4 linked regions of the Arabidopsis thaliana genome follow. The protein of the gene in region 3 interacts with the protein of the main gene of each other region in a pairwise test. Each region holds a gene or a part of one and is shown on either strand. Other genes may lie near its edges.

Evidence for each region.
Region 1: the proteins of UMAMIT17 (region 3) and AT1G27290 interact in a protein complementation assay, tested with the Arabidopsis thaliana proteins (one large-scale study listed by BioGRID).
Region 2: the proteins of UMAMIT17 (region 3) and MAPR3 interact in a protein complementation assay, tested with the Arabidopsis thaliana proteins (one large-scale study listed by BioGRID).
Region 4: the proteins of UMAMIT17 (region 3) and EMB3135 interact in a protein complementation assay, tested with the Arabidopsis thaliana proteins (one large-scale study listed by BioGRID).

What each region holds. Positions count from the first base shown.
Region 1 is NC_003070.9:9,479,479-9,483,549, forward strand, and holds AT1G27290 (uncharacterized protein), read left to right. Parts: upstream 1-1,926; 5' UTR 1,927-2,309; coding exon 2,310-2,721; intron 2,722-3,081; coding exon 3,082-3,098; 3' UTR 3,099-3,514; downstream 3,515-4,071. Other genes in the region: AT1G27300 (uncharacterized protein), read left to right, coding at 3,846-3,986.
Region 2 is NC_003074.8:18,127,738-18,132,099, reverse strand, and holds MAPR3 (membrane-associated progesterone binding protein 3), read right to left. Parts: upstream 2,649-4,362; 5' UTR 2,432-2,648; coding exon 2,124-2,431; intron 1,141-2,123; coding exon 747-1,140; 3' UTR 508-746; downstream 1-507. Other genes in the region: AT3G48900 (single-stranded DNA endonuclease family protein), read right to left, coding at 1-89, 179-246; AT3G48880 (RNI-like superfamily protein), read right to left, coding at 3,092-3,656, 3,863-4,227.
Region 3 is NC_003075.7:5,243,079-5,248,932, reverse strand, and holds UMAMIT17 (nodulin MtN21 /EamA-like transporter family protein), read right to left. Parts: upstream 4,069-5,854; 5' UTR 3,910-4,068; coding exon 3,722-3,909; intron 3,608-3,721; coding exon 3,545-3,607; intron 2,651-3,544; coding exon 2,534-2,650; intron 2,427-2,533; coding exon 2,177-2,426; intron 1,496-2,176; coding exon 1,337-1,495; intron 1,253-1,336; coding exon 1,101-1,252; intron 973-1,100; coding exon 780-972; 3' UTR 539-779; downstream 1-538.
Region 4 is NC_003076.8:3,829,520-3,833,691, forward strand, and holds EMB3135 (harpin-induced protein), read left to right. Parts: upstream 1-1,980; 5' UTR 1,981-2,250; coding exon 2,251-3,114; 3' UTR 3,115-3,632; downstream 3,633-4,172. Other genes in the region: AT5G11880 (Pyridoxal-dependent decarboxylase family protein), read right to left, coding at 1-423.

The sequences.
Region 1 (4,071 bases), on a different chromosome or scaffold from region 3:
GGATTCACCAATTCTCTCGCTGATACATCAGTGTTTGTTTACATCAACGACATCCAAATCGTCTACTGCTTGGTCTATGTTGATGACATTATTGTCACGGGAAGTAGTGATGCGTTGGTAATGGCTTTCATCACCGCTCTTTCTCGGCGATTCTCGTTGAAGGACCCGACGGATTTGGTATATTTTCTTGGTATAGAGGCAACAAGAACCTCACAAGGTCTTCATTTGATGCAGCATAAATATGTTTATGACTTGTTGTCTAGGATGAAGATGTTAGATGCCAAACCGGTGTCCACACCAATGGCGACACATCCTAAACTTTCACTCTACTCTGGCATTGCTCTAGACGAACCCGGAGAATACAGGACAGTGATCGGCAGCTTGCAATACTTGGCGTTTACACGACCGGATATTGCGTATGCTGTGAATCGATTATCACAATTTATGCATCGTCCCACAGACATTCATTGGCAGGCTGCAAAACGCGTCCTTCGATATCTTGCGGGAACTGCTACTCATGGTATATTACTTCGCTCAAACTCTCCTCTCTCGCTTCATGCATTCTCCGATGCTGATTGGGCTGGGGACAATGACGATTTTGTTTCCACCAATGCATATATTGTGTATCTTGGCTCTACACCCATAGCTTGGAGCTCGAAGAAACAAAAGGGAGTCGCACGTTCTTCCACCGAGGCCGAGTACAGGGCTGTTGCAAACACAACTTCAGAAATTAGATGGGTATGCTCTCTTCTTACTGAGTTAGGCATCACATTACCAAAGATGCCTGTGATATATTGTGACAATGTTGGTGCCACATATCTCTCTGCAAATCCGGTTTTCCATTCAAGAATGAAGCATCTAGCATTGGACTATCATTTTATTCGCGACAATGTGAGTGCCGGTGCACTACGAGTCTCTCACATATCAACACATGACCAACTTGCCGATGCTCTAACCAAGCCATTGCCTCGTCAACACTTTCTTCAGTTTTCAAGCAAGATTGGAGTGAGCAAACTCCCTCCATCTTGAGGGGGCATGTAGAGTATATAAGTAAAGGATAGTTTAGTAAATCATTAATCCCTAATTCATTCTAATGTAGTCCCTATATATATTGTAATTATATCATCTAATGAATTATTCAGCCTTCAATACTATAGTTTGATCATGTGCTTACTTTCCCTTCATTTGCGATACTTCAAGGTTCTTGCTGCCACTGTTTCTTTGAATGCGTCACATGTTTGAACATGTGTGTTCTTTTTGGATCGAAGCTTAGCTCTTTAGATGGAACTGAATAAGTAAAAGAGGTCACTGGATAAGCTCTGTTACTAGAATAATAGGAGGGCTTCTGCTTCACATTTGTAATCCTCTCTCTTTCTCTGAATTGATGTTGCAATTGCTTGTCATCAGTATCTGTATTTCCATAGATAACTGAACTCATTAAAGGGCAACCGAAGCTGCTTCGTGGTTTATGTTTCTTCTTTGTGGGCTATTTTGCTTTGCACTTTCACTTGTTTCTTAGTTTTGGTTTGATTTTTCATACTGGGCCCTGAGCAAAACAATTTTAGTTATATGACTTGTGAAACTTAAATGGGTTTTAATCGAATGGTAACTTCATCTAATTTGTTTGAATAATTCATCATGGACCTTAATGATAATATCTTGAGTCTACTAATCATTTCACAAATCCTTTCATTTTCCAACAGCAAGTAGCCTGATTTTTGAACCTCAGCGATAGACAGCTTAAAGTGCGGTCATTCTCGCAAAAAGCTATCAGTCTTTATTTGATTCACGAACATTATACACGAAAGTCAAAATTAAATAACCAAAAAAATTAAACAAAAAGCAAACAAGAAAACGACTTCTCTGGTATGATTGGAACAAATTTAATAGAGAGAGAGGTTAGATAAGAATGTGGTAGAAGATAAGACCCAACTACGCGTCATAACTGGGTCCCATCTTTGTCTCTTTCCCTTCTTCACTCGCCAACCCCATCGCGTGTCCCCACGCTCCTTCCCTTTACTTTTTCTCGTTATCCAAAACACGACGATTCTTCATTTTAGATTTTTTTCATTAATAAAAAAAAAAAAGTCTTTTATTGCAGAAATTTCGATCGTTTTTGTTGTGTGTACAGAGAGATTATCGTGTTTTGTTGGCAATCGCCATTAAACCTTCTTCCCTCTAACCCAATCAAATTTGCGGCTCTTTCTTTTATCTTCTCGCCTCGGTTTTAGCAAACCCTTTAGTTATCTTCTTCCTCAAGCAATTTTTCTTTTGGATTAGATTGGTGTTTTCTTTTGGTTTGTGTGGTGATGATGAGAAGGCAACGAGATGAACAACAATCTAGGGTTTTCTACGATCTATCATCTCTTGTTTTGAATCTTCTCCGTTCTCCTCCTATGCCGATTTCTTTACCTGATCATTTCCCCGATCCGCCCGCTAGAATTCGTCCTCCCTTTTCTTCGCATCGTTTTTCGTCTTCTTCGCCTTCTTTGGCTCATATTTCTCCGTCTGGATTCGCGTCGTTGCTGCTTGGTATATCTGTGGCTCTTATGCTATGTGGATCTGTGACTTTCTTCATCGGGTTTCTCTTGATGCCTTGGGTTCTTGCTCTGATTTTGGTTTTCTATGTCGCTGGCATCGTTTCTGCCATTTCTATGGTCGGGAGGTCGATTCTCTGTTACGTCTTGACGCCACCTTCTCCTTCCGGAAAGGAGATTTCTGGTAATTTTGTTGAATTTTAGGGTTAAGTTTGTCAAATTGGTTTCAATGATTCAAGCTTTCTACTTTCGTCTCGGATCTGTTTAGATTTTAACCAAAGTTTCCTTATTGATCATCTAGAAATGATTCCACTGGGTTTTGGTTCTGTCCTTATTTTGATAGAAATGGAGGTTCGAATTAGGGTTTTATTGAAAAGCACACCGATGTTTGTTCTGTCTTTGACTGAAACGATATTGTTCTTTTGTTTCCTCGTGGATCATATTATTCATGTTCACATTACTTTTGTTGTCTGAAATTAAACCTATGTTTGTATTAGTTTCATGTTCTTGCAATAATGTTTGTGTTTGACATGTCTATTCGCAGAATGGAAGCTTCTGTGAAATGATTAAACAACAGAGGTGAAGAATCTATACATCATCCGGAAGCAGAGCAGAGCGAAGCAGAACAAAAAAAAGAAGAAGAAGGATTGATTATATAAACACATATATCCGATAGAGTTTTTCTATGTTCTTTATCTGTATTTTGTTGGGGGGGTTTGGGAAAATCATGTGGATATCAGGGAGTTTTATATTTCTTTACATTTCGAAAAAAGAATTTTTCTATTTAACTACTGTTAGAAATAGAGAAGCCTTGTTATTTGTGCTTTCATGTATGTCGTTTTTATGTAACATGATCATTTCTTAAAGCATACAAAAAGATTTTAGGATTTCTGTTGCACTTCTTTCGATTTCCTTGCATTTTCGAAACACTCTGTGTTGATATCTCTTCCTTTAAATCTTCTTACAATATTTGCTCATTCTTGATCTCTTTTATGGTTTTAAATAATTGTCTCTTCAAGTTCACACGGAATCTAGTGTGAATCGAGGTTTAGTCGTGCAGAGTTGTGTGTGTTATTACATGTTTTATTATTGTTTAAGTATATTTATTTAGTGGAGGACTATACGCTATTTGCACATCTCAATGTCAAATTGCTCAAAAATGGTAGAGGTGCCGTGCCGTCAATAGATGTCACGTGTCCTGACTTGCCTTCTCAATACAAACAAAAATACTCTCTACCTAAAAAAACACAATAAACAACAAACGCATCTTTGGAGCGGCGGTGAGATTAGAGAAGAAGGGTTTGTGAAATGGAGTCCAGTGAGGATGTGGAGAATCTGAGTAGAGCTATTGAGAAGCTTCTTCATGAGAAGAGGAAGAGAGAAGCTTCTGGTGACGCCTTCATTGAAGACGCTGATGATCAGCTTTTCCTCTCTAGCCTTATCTCTCAGGTACTTTACCATCGCTCTGTTTTCTCCTTTGTTGATTTATCTGATGTTGCAGCCAATCAACTTTCTGGGTATATGATTGAATCAT
Region 2 (4,362 bases), on a different chromosome or scaffold from region 3:
AAACTTTTTCTTTAGTGGCGCAATAAGATTTGTTCACTTTATGCAATTCCACCATCCAACACGAAAGATCCACGCATACCCTTTTGTTTCTACAGCGATTACGAAGATCTCGTAAAGACTTGGTCTTTTTAAACACCCAGAAAAATTAAAGAGAAATTGAGACGAAGAAACAACTCACTGAAGATGATCGAGTGGGAAAGTCTTCTTACAAGGCTCCAAGACATCCCAAAGATACTTCACTCCCATAGCTTCACCTTCGAGATCGAGCGAGAGAGAGAGACAGAGACAGAAAGAGGGAAGAAAATGATTTGACAAGATATTTGAATTTTGAAAATTTGGTTCAATAATAATTCGAAACCGGTCGGTTTGAAGGTTCCAAACCGAAACCAAAATTATTGCAAATTCTTCACTTCGGTTCGGCAACAGACCTACCATCAAATGTAAGTTGGTGCTTCGATTTTAGGAATTGAACCATCTTCAATTACCAGGCACATAGCAGGATGTCAAATATGAACTAAGCATAAACAACAAGTGAACAAACCCTGAATTATAGAACTGTTTATCGATTAATACTGTAGAAATAATGTATTTTGAAGCTTCCATAACCAGAATTAGATGTCATTATACAAGATCCAAAAAGTACACACAAGGTCACCATTTTTATTGAGCTATATACGACTCATACTTAAACCCTGAAAAATCTCACTAATTTCTCAAGAGAAACTGTGCCTCTCATTACATTGACTTTACTCCTTTGCAGCATCATCATCATCAGTTGCAACATCTTTCTTCTCCGTGGTTTCCGCGATTTTCTCGCCTGTGCTTCTAGAAGTTTCATCATGGGTAATTGCTGAAGCTTCTTCTCCAGTGTTTGTAGAAAGACCTTCCGCAGAGGCAGTCTTTGCTTCGGAAGGTTCTGAACTTTCTTTGCCTTCTCCATCCTTCTTTTGAATGGTTCCGACTTTGACATACTTGCTCATGAACTTGTACTCCCAGTCTTGTAACGCCTCTAGCTCAAATGCACCGAGACCTGAGATGTCTCCAGTCAAGTCTTGGTCCTCAAATGACATCTTTGCCAGAGCTCGGCTTGCATCTTTCCCTGCAAACAGAGCATATGGCCCACCTGGTCCATAAAACATCCTGCATAAAAAGAACAGATGGTCATGCAAATTAGCGACCAGTAAGAGTTAAGTAGAGTTTGAAGAATGAAAAACTACAGCTTGGCACATATGAATATGATTCATCTAGATATGTAGTACAGCTGATGAACTATGTACAAGAAAAAAACTAAAAGTTATGCATACATATACATCGACATGTATATGCGTTGATGAGTGTGTCTGTGTCTGTCGCCACTATGAACAAGCAAAACGGTATGATCACTGAAGTGATTATTTCATCTAGCACAAAACCTAATTACCACAACGAAGTTTTCGGTAACTGGAATGTAAAAGAACTGTCTAGTTGACAAGTCAGGGATCTAGACAACTGCAGCATGGTTACATACCAACAATGTTCGCCAAAACTTAATTTACAAACGTCATGGAACACAAATAGCAAGCAAATGTGGATAATTAATCAGTGAACGATCTCTTTCGCCACAATAGCAATATTAGAAGCCAAACCTTTGACGAGTTTGTACGTTATCAATCTCTACTAATCCAAGATGTAATCTAAATACAGGTTTTTCTAGTATAAGAAAAAGTAGAGATCTTTCCGATAACTTGAATACAATACAATTGTATCAGTGCTTCTAATGGTATTGTTCCAAGAAAAGAAGTGAAAAAACAAACACTAAGATGCAAAAAGCAATAAAAAGAGCATCATAAGATTATGAACAAAAAGGAGAGAATATTCATCAAAAAGATTTACTAAAAGTGTTCAGTTTTACAATAAAGAATCACTTAAACTAGAGTTCGAGCATCAGTAGATATACTAGAATCATAAGATAGATAGTAATTGGAAACTTCGGATTATAAATCAAACAGTCAACCATGATTAACTAACCTAAACCCCAAATCTCGAAACTATTGGGTTGAATCGTTTATTACTGGTAATTTAACTAGTGATCATTTGGATTCAATCATAATTTAATGAACAAGTAAAGATTTCACAAGAAATACCTGCTCTGAGAAACATCATAGATCTGGCCCTTGATCGCCATAAGAAGGGGCTTTTTAGAATCGGAGCCATCATAAAGCTTAAGCTCCTCCTCAGTGATTTCTCCGAGCTGAACCGGCGGTGGAAGAGGCTCCGATTGAGGCTGAACCTCCAAAGAACGAGGTCGGTGAACTTCAGGAGAAACGAAGAAACCGGAGACGACTTGGTAAACGGCGAAAGCGAGAGCAAGTACGGTGAAAAACGCAGCTGGAGAAAGTCCAGTGTAAGCTGTGATTGTTTCCTTCAACGTCTCCCATATTTGCTGAACCATGATTTGAGAAGCTATCGAGAAGCGAAAGAGAATGAGAGAGAAGAGTAACGTTTTGTGTTTTAATTTTCAGATTTATTTGCGATCGAATTAAAACATATATATAATATCTTCAATTTTTGGTATAAAATAAAATAAAATGGTCAAATTACGCAACAAGAATTTTAAACGATTTTGTTTAACAGTCGTCGTCCATAATGACCGTTGATGTCTGAAAAATATTTTCTTTTTGTTCGTGTGAAACATACATAGAAATTTTCTAAACGTTTTTAAGAATATATATCGTTACCTAACTAGTGGTGGCTGAGCTCGATAAAACGGTGTCGTTAATGCCGCCGGAGAAGACTGGTAGGTAAGAACTAAGAAGAATAAGATATAGACCAAAAAAAAAAGGTAGATGATTTGCAAAACAAATGTGACTAATAATGCTAATATCAAGACAAATAATTGTAACAATATTGTTTTATTTTCCTATTTGGTGTGCAAGGTTGGTGGTGATCAAAAGTTGATCACTACAGACATTCATTGGCATAGCCTACAGATATATACACATAATACGATTCAAATCAAAACAAACAACACAAAGAAATAAACAATTCAACAGTCAAAGATGAGAACAATAACAAGTTAAGTCCTTCACAGAGAATGATCACAGCAGAAACATCAAAGATGAAGAGAACTCACTTCATCAACCTTCCAGTCTCCTTCCTCATACTTGTACCATCTCACAATCCCTTCATCGTTTTCAGTCCTCTGACACATCACACACGTCTTGTGATCCATGCAAGTCAAGAATTTCTTTAGCCTTGCTGTTTTCTCCATTATCGTCTTATCGAGCTCTCTAACAATCACCTTCTGCTGAGGCTGCCAACCGCTGTACTCCACTAGGTGAGAGTGTGATATGTTGAGCACTTCAAGGCTTGGTAATCCGTCAAGGATTTTCATCAGTGCTTCCCGCTTTATCGCCGAGCATCTGATGCTGAGTGTTTTGATGTTTGGGAGGCAAGTGATGAGCGTGTTTGCAAAGAAGACCTCGAATGGACCCATGATCTTCAGCTCTTTAAAATTCTTGCAGTTCTTGGCAATTTCTGTTAAGAGATAAGGCGGGTTTGCGATGCTTGGCATTGTTAGTGACTCTAGATCTTTCCAGATTCTTATCGCTTTGCATATACCAGTCTTCTTTATTCTGTTCCAAGCCGGTAGGACGACCCGTCTCAACCCTGGACACCTGCAAAATATTCAGTACAACAAATTTTTCAACTTTTAGCATTTGCGAGATTCAGCTTAATTGTAATTCAGCAATTTTGACTGAAAGTGGGTACATGAACTTAACCAAACCAAAAACTGAACCAACTTTTGACTAAAAAACCATAGTTTACGGCCATGATGAAACAATTTGGAAGACAAATAAGTGGAAGAACGAAAAGGACATACCTTTCTGCGGTGTAAGTAAGCTGATCATCACTCAAGAACAAGTTGAAATGAAAAATCAAGGTCCTCGTGCTTCCTCCGCTAAGGTTCATGGAGAGTTTCAGGATGCGGGTTAGGGCCTCATCAGATCGGCGTTCCACATAGACATAAGGCTCTAATGGGATCTTGATGAAACTAGATCTCATGTTTGACAAATCCACCGTCTTCCAAAGAATCGGATCGCAACAAGCAGCTCTCCATCCTCTACAAACATGAGCTAATCCCGAAGTCAACTCAAAGACGCTAAACTTCTGGAAAATTCTTACTAAGATGTCAGTGTCCAACTCTTCCCATCTCCTCAATCGACGACTCTCATACTCTTCTTCCATTCTTGTTGTACCCTAAACAAGCATAAGAACGTTAATCAACTGTTGTTATCCACAAGAGCTTATAGAAATAGGAAAGAGCACAACTTTAAGAAGTAGGAAAAGAAACACACATCAGTTCTCTTATTCTCTCATAAA
Region 3 (5,854 bases):
AATTTTAAGGCTTGCATTATAACACTGAATTAGTTTTCATCTGAAATTTAGAAGGGATATGATTTTGTCAGTTTTTTCCCCAATATGTTTGCTTCATTTGGCCCTAACTCATTTTCCAATTCCGTCTTTGATCGAATAATTCACGACAAATATATCATACATTAACTACACACAAAATTGAGTTACAACGAGGAAACTCGTAATCGTTAACATAGATCGAATAACAAATGCTTCTTGATAGACTATTTCGGCTACTAAATTCTTAATCTCTCTCAACCTAAATTTGACCTTCATGAATAATATGTTCTAGTCCTAACATTTCTTGAACTTTAACTTGTAAATCTTCCTAAATATTTCGTAATCACAATTTCAACTAACTTTTTCATGTTCATAGGTTTTGAAAGATACTTATCAACAATAATCTTATATTTGGCGTCTAACGATCGACATTTATTTCAAATTAAACTAGTTATATGTTATACGTTTTGGTCTATTATGTTTTCAAAATTTATCGGCTTAATGTTGCAATATTTATTGTAAAACCGTCTTTTTTGGTGCATATATTGTAAATTCAAACAAAAACAAAAATTACCAAATTGAAATTTCTTCAACTTCCGTGATATTCGACAATTACAGAAAATATACAACATTCGTTATATAGTTGAATCAACACAGATAACTTGAAAATGTAAACAGCATAAAACAAACAAGAAAGACAAACAAATTTCCTTTCTTGGAAATTTGGTCTTCAAAAATTTCTCTTAATTGCTTTATTGGGGTTACACTTGGGTATTGTTAGTCACACCTTCGTTTACTTCACTGGTAATACCACCACCCTCCACTTTTGTCGATGTGTTGGTGATCGGCAGCTCCTGCATTCCTATTTTCTCTTCCACCGATATCACTTCGTCCTTAGCTTTCCCCCACACAACGCTATATAGCCCGAAGACGATAAAAATCGCCCCGATTATACTGCAATATACAAAATTAAACAACTAATTAGTTACCTAATGAATGCAATATAGTTGTTTGTACTATTGATCATAGCCGTGTAAGTTGTATATGATTAGAATATCATTAATTCTATAATGTATATTTACCTTCCAAGGTGAATCTTTTCAGCCAAAACTAACACGCCGAGGAAAGCAGTGATGATCATGCACATAGGACTAAACGATGTCGTAAAAACCGGACCTCGTTCCCTAATCACAATGCTTTGTATGTAATACGCCATACCCGAACAAACCACTCCCTGATATTAAGTACTTAACACTTGTGAGTTATGACCATGATTATAAAAAGATTGGTTTAGTAGTAAACGGTCAAAAGTACTTACGGAGTAAACAGCCGCAAGTGTGCCCGAGTCCATACCGACTTTCCATGCGCTTACGTCGCGCACCATTATGAGCGAAGCGATGGTGTTTAAGACCGTTCCCATGGCACAAATCCACATCACTAGCGAAAGCTCAGCCGGATATTTTTTCAACGTGAACGACTGAAAATATTTCAATCTTAGTACCATGTAAAATCTTATCTTAAAGCATAGACTAATTTGTAAATTATATATGTTTTTTTTCTATTGCCACTTTGTAGTCAAAATTAGGCATGGGCGTTCGGGTATTCGGTTCGGGTTCGGATCGGGTTTTTCGGATTTAGAAATCTAAGATCCGTTCGGGTATTTTAAGACTTCGGGTTCGGTTCGGATTCGGATCGGGTTTTTCGGGTTCGGATTCGGGTAAACCCGGAGTATCCAAAACTCAAAATTTTCTATTGTAAATGTTTTATGTATATATATTTTAGAATCCAAATATTTTAGACATTTAAGTTGTTGTAAATGTGATTATTACTAATGAATTATTTTCTATGTATATATATTTCGGATATGTTCGGGTACTTGATCGAGTATTTAGGTTCGGATCGGGTTCGGGTTTTGAAGTTTAGGATCCGTTCGGGTATTTTAAAGTTTTGGGTTCGAATTCAGATCGGGTTTTTCGGGTCGGGTTCGGTTTGGTTCTTCGGGTTTGGCTATTTTGCCTAGGCCTAGTCAAAATGGAGATTTGGTACCACTCTTTGTTATGTTATAGTGATCAGAATAACTATAATAGTATGGTATAACACATTTACTAATTAATGTAAACACACCAATTTGGAATATAAGTAACTAATGTTTGCTTACTTGTAGAATGAAGAAACCTGCCCAAGTGGTGATACTACCCATAACCGCTAGAGTTCCGGTAACCCAATTCTGATCAGTGGTCTCGGAGGAGGTGCCCGAGGAGCCGCCGTGTAAAGAGCTATGAGCAGTCTTAAAGAGCTCAATGGCTGGACCTTTGTACAACGTCATAACCATTGCTCCTCCCACAGTTATTGCTGTTCCAATCACTTTTGCAAGACTTCGTGTCTTCTTCAAATTTACAGTTTCTATCCTAATAAAATTTAAGCAATTTTTGAATTAATAACTATAAAATTATGACGTAAAAAATATAGAGAATGATTAATATGATTGGTCTTTGGTAATTAGAAGCAAACTTACCTGAAAATGACAGCCATTATGAAGGTAATGGCGGGAAGTGCATTAACAAAGGCAGAACTATACGTTGCTGACGTGGCTTTCATTCCTATGTAGTACAAGTTCTGGTCCAAAAGTGGTCTGAATAGACAAACAACCAACATTTACAAATTTATTAATCATATGCTTTAATGTTGCATCATCTTCTGCTTAACCAATCATATTCTTTCTTTTTTTTTCGTTATCATTCTCTTCAAGTTAAATTAAAAGATAAAGGAAAACAAAGCTATGAGAAGACGGCAATGGGTGATGATCTAATCAAGAATATTCACGACTAGAATCTTTTTTTATTTTTGCCAAACGACTAGAATCTTTTCGTATAGATTCTTCGTATATAATATTCTTTTATATGGTATATTTTACCTTTATATGATTTAAGGATTCATCGATATGAAAAGATTTGTTAAAATTATTGAATTAATTCTTATATCGAAATAGTTTATTACTCTGGTTTGGTTCCCGCTAATGAAGCTCTACACATTAAATCTTTATTTTGATCCTTGTTTGTTTGTATCTAAGAAATTCTTAACGCAAACGCTGCATCTGATGTAATACAGTTTTTTCGAATAAATTTTAAATTTTTTATTAAAAAAAAAATAGTTTATTATTAATCGATTTCTAAAAACTTTCAATTTTTATATTGGTGAAATTTGTACTTTTGTGTGATTATTTTTGGTTATTTCATAAATTAAAAAGAAATCGTTAATTATCTCTAATCATTTCATAAATTTACGACACATTTTATCAGGGAAAATGTATCAAAGTCTCATTTTGTTTCATTCATCTTAGGTCCTCAAAACCCTCAAATATTTGGAATGCAAAATAAGAATTATTCTTTATAAAATAGAAAACCCCCAACATCGTATAAATTTATATCTATATATATATACACGTATATTTATGTGTGTGTGTATGTGTGTTTGCATATATATATGGACATGAAAAGGGGATAAGATATATGTATGAGGAGCTTACTCTAGGAATCCAAGGGCAAGAATCCTAAGGAACAATGGCCATGTCATCTTAGGCCTTATTTTCCTGAAAAAGTATGCGATGAATTAATACAGAGACACTTACATTTATAAATAGCTACCATGGCTCTAGATATAAGAACCAACACAAGCATGCATACACATCATTTAACATACATACCTCTCGAGAATGAGAGCAAAAGGAGCTATGACAATTGTGGCGACGACATGTCGGTAAGTAGCAAGGATCCAATGGTTCATGCCATGCTTGAAGGAGACCATAGTAATGATGTACATGCCTGCATATCCAAATTGGAGTGATATGATTGCTATTATTGGCTTCAATTTATCCATCTTTCCTCCTTTCATTTTCTTCCTCGATTTGAGAGGTATGTACCACTTATATGATTCTATATAGATTCTCTATATATTGTTTTGTTTCTCTCTCTAGATATATATGAGATGTTTCGTGAACGACTAAGAGTTACTTGTTTGAGCATACAAAACCAAATGGCAAATGGTCCTTCTTATAGTCATCAAAAGTTAGATTTATAAAAGGAAAAATAGCATTATTTTGTTCGCTCAATAATACGTCTACGTATCTTCTCGAATATTATAATGGAAAGATACGAGTAACAAAACAAAAAAAAAAAGCATATATATGTGTATGGAAAATTTTGCTTAATGGAATATAATAATTTTAAGAGTGTGTGCACGAAATGGCTTTATGTTTGTCATTTATTTGTAGAAACAATGATAAAATTTGGATCATTTATTGTTCTTGTTTTCTTTATTTAACTGATGACAATTTATTTTACACATTACGGCCAAAAAACGAAAAACATTTTGTACAATTCAACTCTCGCTCTCTTTCTTCCAATACATATATCTTATGCAGTGAGTGAAGACTTTTCCCAAAAGAAAAAAAAAATGCAATGAGTGAAGTTAACTCTCCCCTAATATTTATTAATAAAATTTTCCAAAGCCCAATGTTAGAAAAAAACATTTATCATTCACAACTAAGCGAATCACTTAATGCAACGTGTATCTTATTCGATTGTTTTTGCTAAATTGTAAATATTTCATAGATAATAAAAAAAGTTTAGGTTACAAACATAGAATTTGAAACCTACGCAAAACTTATATAAATCTTAACACCACGTGTATTTTAGGTTAGGGAAATCTTAATCACTTAGCAATTTGTAACTTAGTTCAGGTGAATTGTGTACACTAAACATTTTATTTAACTTTTAAGGTCCTTTACACCGATTGTATATTTATTTGGGTCGAACAATAAAAAGGTCAAAAAAACTCGATGGTTAATGCCACCTTTAGTTTGCAACGTAAATCTGATATATATAGAAGAGACTTGCTGATGACTGGTCTTATAAATCTAGTTTGCCTAGCCCTTGAACATGAACAAGGCCATGTAACTTGTCTATAATTACCTTTTGGGTTTAGAAATACCTTAGAGGTTAACTCAAAATCATATTAGTTATGTCTTACTCTTCATGCCTTACTTTTTTCTCTTTGGTCAAGTTCAGTTTCATTTGTAATCGAAATGTGTCTCCTACACTCATGTTCATTTCTTGAATTTTTATATATTTGTTATTTTTTTTAGATTCTAGAGAAATAACAACGTAGTTATTTTTTTTTTCTTGAGTCACGTAAATTAAAAAAAAGTTGAGAAAATAGGTAAACAACAATCATGAAGAAAAAATTAAGAAAATGGAAATAAGACAAAATCAATATTTCATAATTCCAAATTGTTATGAAAATCTTAATCAAAAATTTAAACTCGAATCTCCACTTAATTATTTGGACAATCCCATATAAAAAAATATATATGTTACGGAAAAAGAATTAGTCCCGTAACAAAGAATAAGTTTTGTCCTCTATCGTAAAAAATAATTACGAAAAATAATTAGTCCCGTAACAAAAAATAATTAGTCCCATAACGAAAATTATTTAACCGTTTTTAGAAATAGATCCACTATTATATTATGTTTGCATTGCTATTTTTAACTTTACATCTAACTTTTATCATTGGATACAAATATTATTTTCTTTTTATTAACCCTTTTTATTTGAACAACTAAGATCAGATACCCTTATCCATTAGTGATGAAATACCAGACCTAATGATATGTTTCGAATCAGAATCCTCTTTCCTCAATATGCTGCTAGATTCAAGTGGTATGATTAAATTATGTTTAAATGATATGCATATTAGTAAAGAGAAAGAAAAAAAAAACAAATCTTTCGAATAACAAAAACCAAAGTACATAAAAGAAGAGAAATGGATAATTCAAGT
Region 4 (4,172 bases), on a different chromosome or scaffold from region 3:
CAAATGCTCCAAAATCTTGAGATTGTTATTAGCTTTAATAGCGTAACCAATAACAGATCTCACTCCTTCCAAAGCCTCTTTATAAGCCTCAAGGTTTCTCGTGATCTGAGGTTTGCTATATAAGTAAAAGGGTCGTTTCTCGACTGTTTCCATGATATCTTGAACCTTGGTTCCTTCGCAATAGAGAAACCCATCTGATGATTTCTTGAAACAGTGGTCGAAAGAGGAAGCAGATTCTTTCGTGAGGGTTTTGGTGGAGTTTTGGGAAACGGCGGCTTTGACGGAGAGGCGTTTAAGTGGCTTCAATGTTGACTTGAGAGACAAAAATGGGATTCTTGAGAGTGAAGTCTGATTCAATTGGTACTGATTTAGGGTTCCGCGGATTGATGAAGGTTGGGAGAGAAATTGAGTAACTGCCGCCATGGCTGGAGGATTTTTGTTAGGTGTGCGACTGTTACAGTAACACTGAAGGGTTTAGAAAAAAAAAGTCAACAAGTTTAAGAGTAGTTCCTGTCGGGTCCGGTTTTAGATATCCGACAATATCGAACCGGTGGTTATAGTCGAACCGATGGTTAAAAGAAGAAAGAACAAAGTCGATTTTAACTTCTTTTGGATATGGTTTTTGTCCTTGGGGGATAGTTTCTGCTAGTGTTTGTTTTGTTCGGTTGTGTTAGTTGTGTGTTGTAATAATCTTGATGCTTAAGGGGTCACCTAAAGCAGTCATGGAAATCTAGCCCTATCTATAAAAATTTGCCATTTCTCATCACCTACCAATACTTCTATTTGTTCGTATTATGCGGATATTCAGAGGATAATGTAAAACATTTTGTTGAATGCTAACGATGAAGTGCTCTATCTAGCCGTGCACGTTGTGGAGAAGTTATGTTTTAGAATCCACATTTGTTGAAGTTATGCTTATCATACTCTCTTAATTATCTATATCTATTACAAAGAGCAAGGAATGTTCTTAGTTAGGATTTGTTTTGTTTGGCAACCATTGCTTCTGGTTATTTGTGCTCTGCCTCCTTTGTAAGTTAGGATTTGTTTTATTCTTACAACTTTGCTTCTCTCGTCATACTATATAATCTCTGACTATGTATGTAATTGCATTCATGTCGATGGTTGTGGGATGTATATTTAGGTGTTTGACTGTAAGACGTTAAAAACAAACTTTACCATAAGTTATTGGGATGTCTAGACACTTTTATGGTTTGGTGAAGTAGGCTCAATGTTTTGCCCTTTATGTTTCCATTGTTGATGTTTATGTACCTTGCTGGTTGGAACCACTTGTGGATGTTTCCGACAATGCTTCTCTGTAATGCAGTTATCTTTTAATGAAATGTGATCGATCTTGAGTGTTATTTATTTTTATTTTTTTAAAGACTTTATGGTGTGGACACTTGACCGGGTGATAATTGGTAACTATACTACATAGTTAGAGAGCTCTTGAATTATTAATCACGCTAAATCTTGGGAATTGAGAGCTCGGAAGCAAAGGTTATTAACAAAATTCAAAGCAGAGCAGCATTGCCGATGAAATAATTATTGACTTGGGATTTACTCTCTGAAGTCTGAACCAAATCGAGATTATTCTAATTATATTTTTAATTTCGGATCCCTAATCTATTAATACTCCAATATCTGCACTCATTTAATTATTTCCTCTTTTTTTAACCTGCACTGACTTAAATTCAAACTTATTTCAATTGCGTGCACACTTTAGTGAACTACTACCACTATCACTATATGTGTCGGTGGATTATTATTTCCGTCATTTTGATATTTAATTACATCTTTAATTGTTACTCTTTTTTGCCCATTCTTCTTCTTCATTTGATTACATTATACTCTATTGTGAATTACTAAATTCTGAAAACAAGAAAAATTTGAGTACACAGGACACATCTTAGTATTACTCGTTACTAAAATACTACACGTGTAAATAATTTTTTCAGAAATAAATGGGGCCACTTTGTAAGTAATAAATCAGCTTACATTAATTATTTTACCACCCAATAAAAAGATTCCACAGACTTGGCATGGAAGTCATGAACATTCACAAAAATCTAAGAAAAACTGAAAACCGAAAAAAAAACAAATTATTAAAAAGCAATAAATAAATAAACTCAGAAAAAAAAGCTATTAAGATTCCACAAAAACTCTGTATTGTCTCTTTCTCTCTCACTATCTCTCTCTCTTTTGTGAGCTCAGATCTGACCAGAGAGAAAGAAACAACCGGAGAAGAAGAAGATGACTGACCGAGTCTTCCCAGCTTCCAAACCACCAACCGCCACTAATGGAGCTCCACCAGTTGGTTCCATACCACCTCCTCCAGCTCCGGCGACTGTAACCAGCAACGGAACAACAAACGGAATGGCTAATCAGAAACCTCAAGTCTACATTCCAGCTAACCGTCCGGTTTACCGTCCACAGCCTTACAGTCGCCGTCATCACCACCAATCTCGACCAAGCTGCCGACGAATTTGCTGTTGTTGCTGTTTCTGGTCGATTCTGATAATTCTGATCTTAGCTCTCATGACTGCAATCGCCGCCACCGCGATGTACGTGATCTACCACCCTCGTCCGCCGTCGTTCTCCGTCCCGTCAATAAGAATCAGCCGCGTGAACCTAACAACCTCCTCTGATTCCTCCGTCTCTCATCTCTCTTCCTTCTTCAACTTCACTCTAATCTCAGAGAATCCAAACCAACACCTCTCTTTCTCTTACGATCCTTTCACCGTCACCGTTAATTCAGCTAAATCCGGTACGATGCTCGGTAACGGAACTGTTCCTGCTTTCTTCAGCGATAACGGTAACAAAACTTCGTTTCACGGCGTGATCGCTACGTCTACAGCGGCGCGTGAGTTAGATCCGGATGAAGCTAAGCATCTGAGATCAGATCTGACGCGCGCGCGTGTAGGATATGAGATCGAGATGAGAACTAAAGTGAAGATGATAATGGGGAAGCTGAAGAGTGAAGGAGTAGAGATCAAAGTGACATGTGAAGGATTTGAAGGAACTATACCAAAAGGTAAAACTCCAATTGTAGCTACTTCTAAAAAAACTAAGTGTAAGTCTGATCTTAGTGTCAAGGTCTGGAAATGGAGTTTCTAGAGGGAATTTTGATAATTTCACAATTGAAATTTTCTATATAATCTTCTTCTTTTTTTCTTCTGGATTTTGTGAAACTTTTGGAATGATCCAAAAGGAGATTTCTTCAGTTGTTAGTTAAAAAATTTCAGAGAAGAGTCAGAGAGATAAGGTATTGTCAAGTAGAAGAAGGCCAGAGAATTCACGGCTTCTAAAAAAATTTCTTGGATTTTTGTTTTGTTTGGAACTTTCTTACTTGAATTTATATTTAATGGATACAGAAATATAAATGTAATACTTGTAACGAATGGAGTACTAAAAAGCTGGAGATTGCAGTGACTGCGTGATAGTGAGCATTAAAGTGAGATCGTAGTAGTAATAAACAGAACCTTAAAAATGGAAAAGATGCGTGGGGTTTGTGAGGAGAACAATGAAGAACACGAGAGATGTGTTAAATGTTAGATGTTGAACCATCTATCGCATTATACAACACCATTTAAGAGAAACGTGAATCGTCTTTAGTACTCTATAAAGCAAGCATATATTCTAGCAGTTGCATGTTATAAAATTAATACAGATCGATCACTCAATTCATGAATATGGTTTGATATAAACATTAAATTAAATGTCATGCTGTCATAAAAGATGAATTATATGGTTCATTTATCTAAGAAACTTTTTATTAACTAAGTAAGTAAAAGTTTGAAGAGGTCATTTGCAAGTGACTCCGACCAGGGATAGACTCCTGAAATCTTATCCAACTATGGACGACGACTTCATGTCGGTGTGTCCAAAAATGAGGAAAAGGAATCTGCCCAAGGGACAAATGGCATTACCCGAAACGGCAAAGAAGAACCGCAGGAAAAAAAGTTGACAATAACGTATGAGGTGTGACTGAAAAAGAAAAACTTGTAGTTTGGTTTATGACGTAAATGAATAATTTGGAAATGACAATAAGTCATCATATCTAATTTAGTGCATGACCTCCAACGTCGGCATATATTTGAGTCGGTGACCGGATATCCAGTACAAAGTAAAGTACAAACCAAAAAGAAAGACAAGACAATAAAATGGGTAAAGAA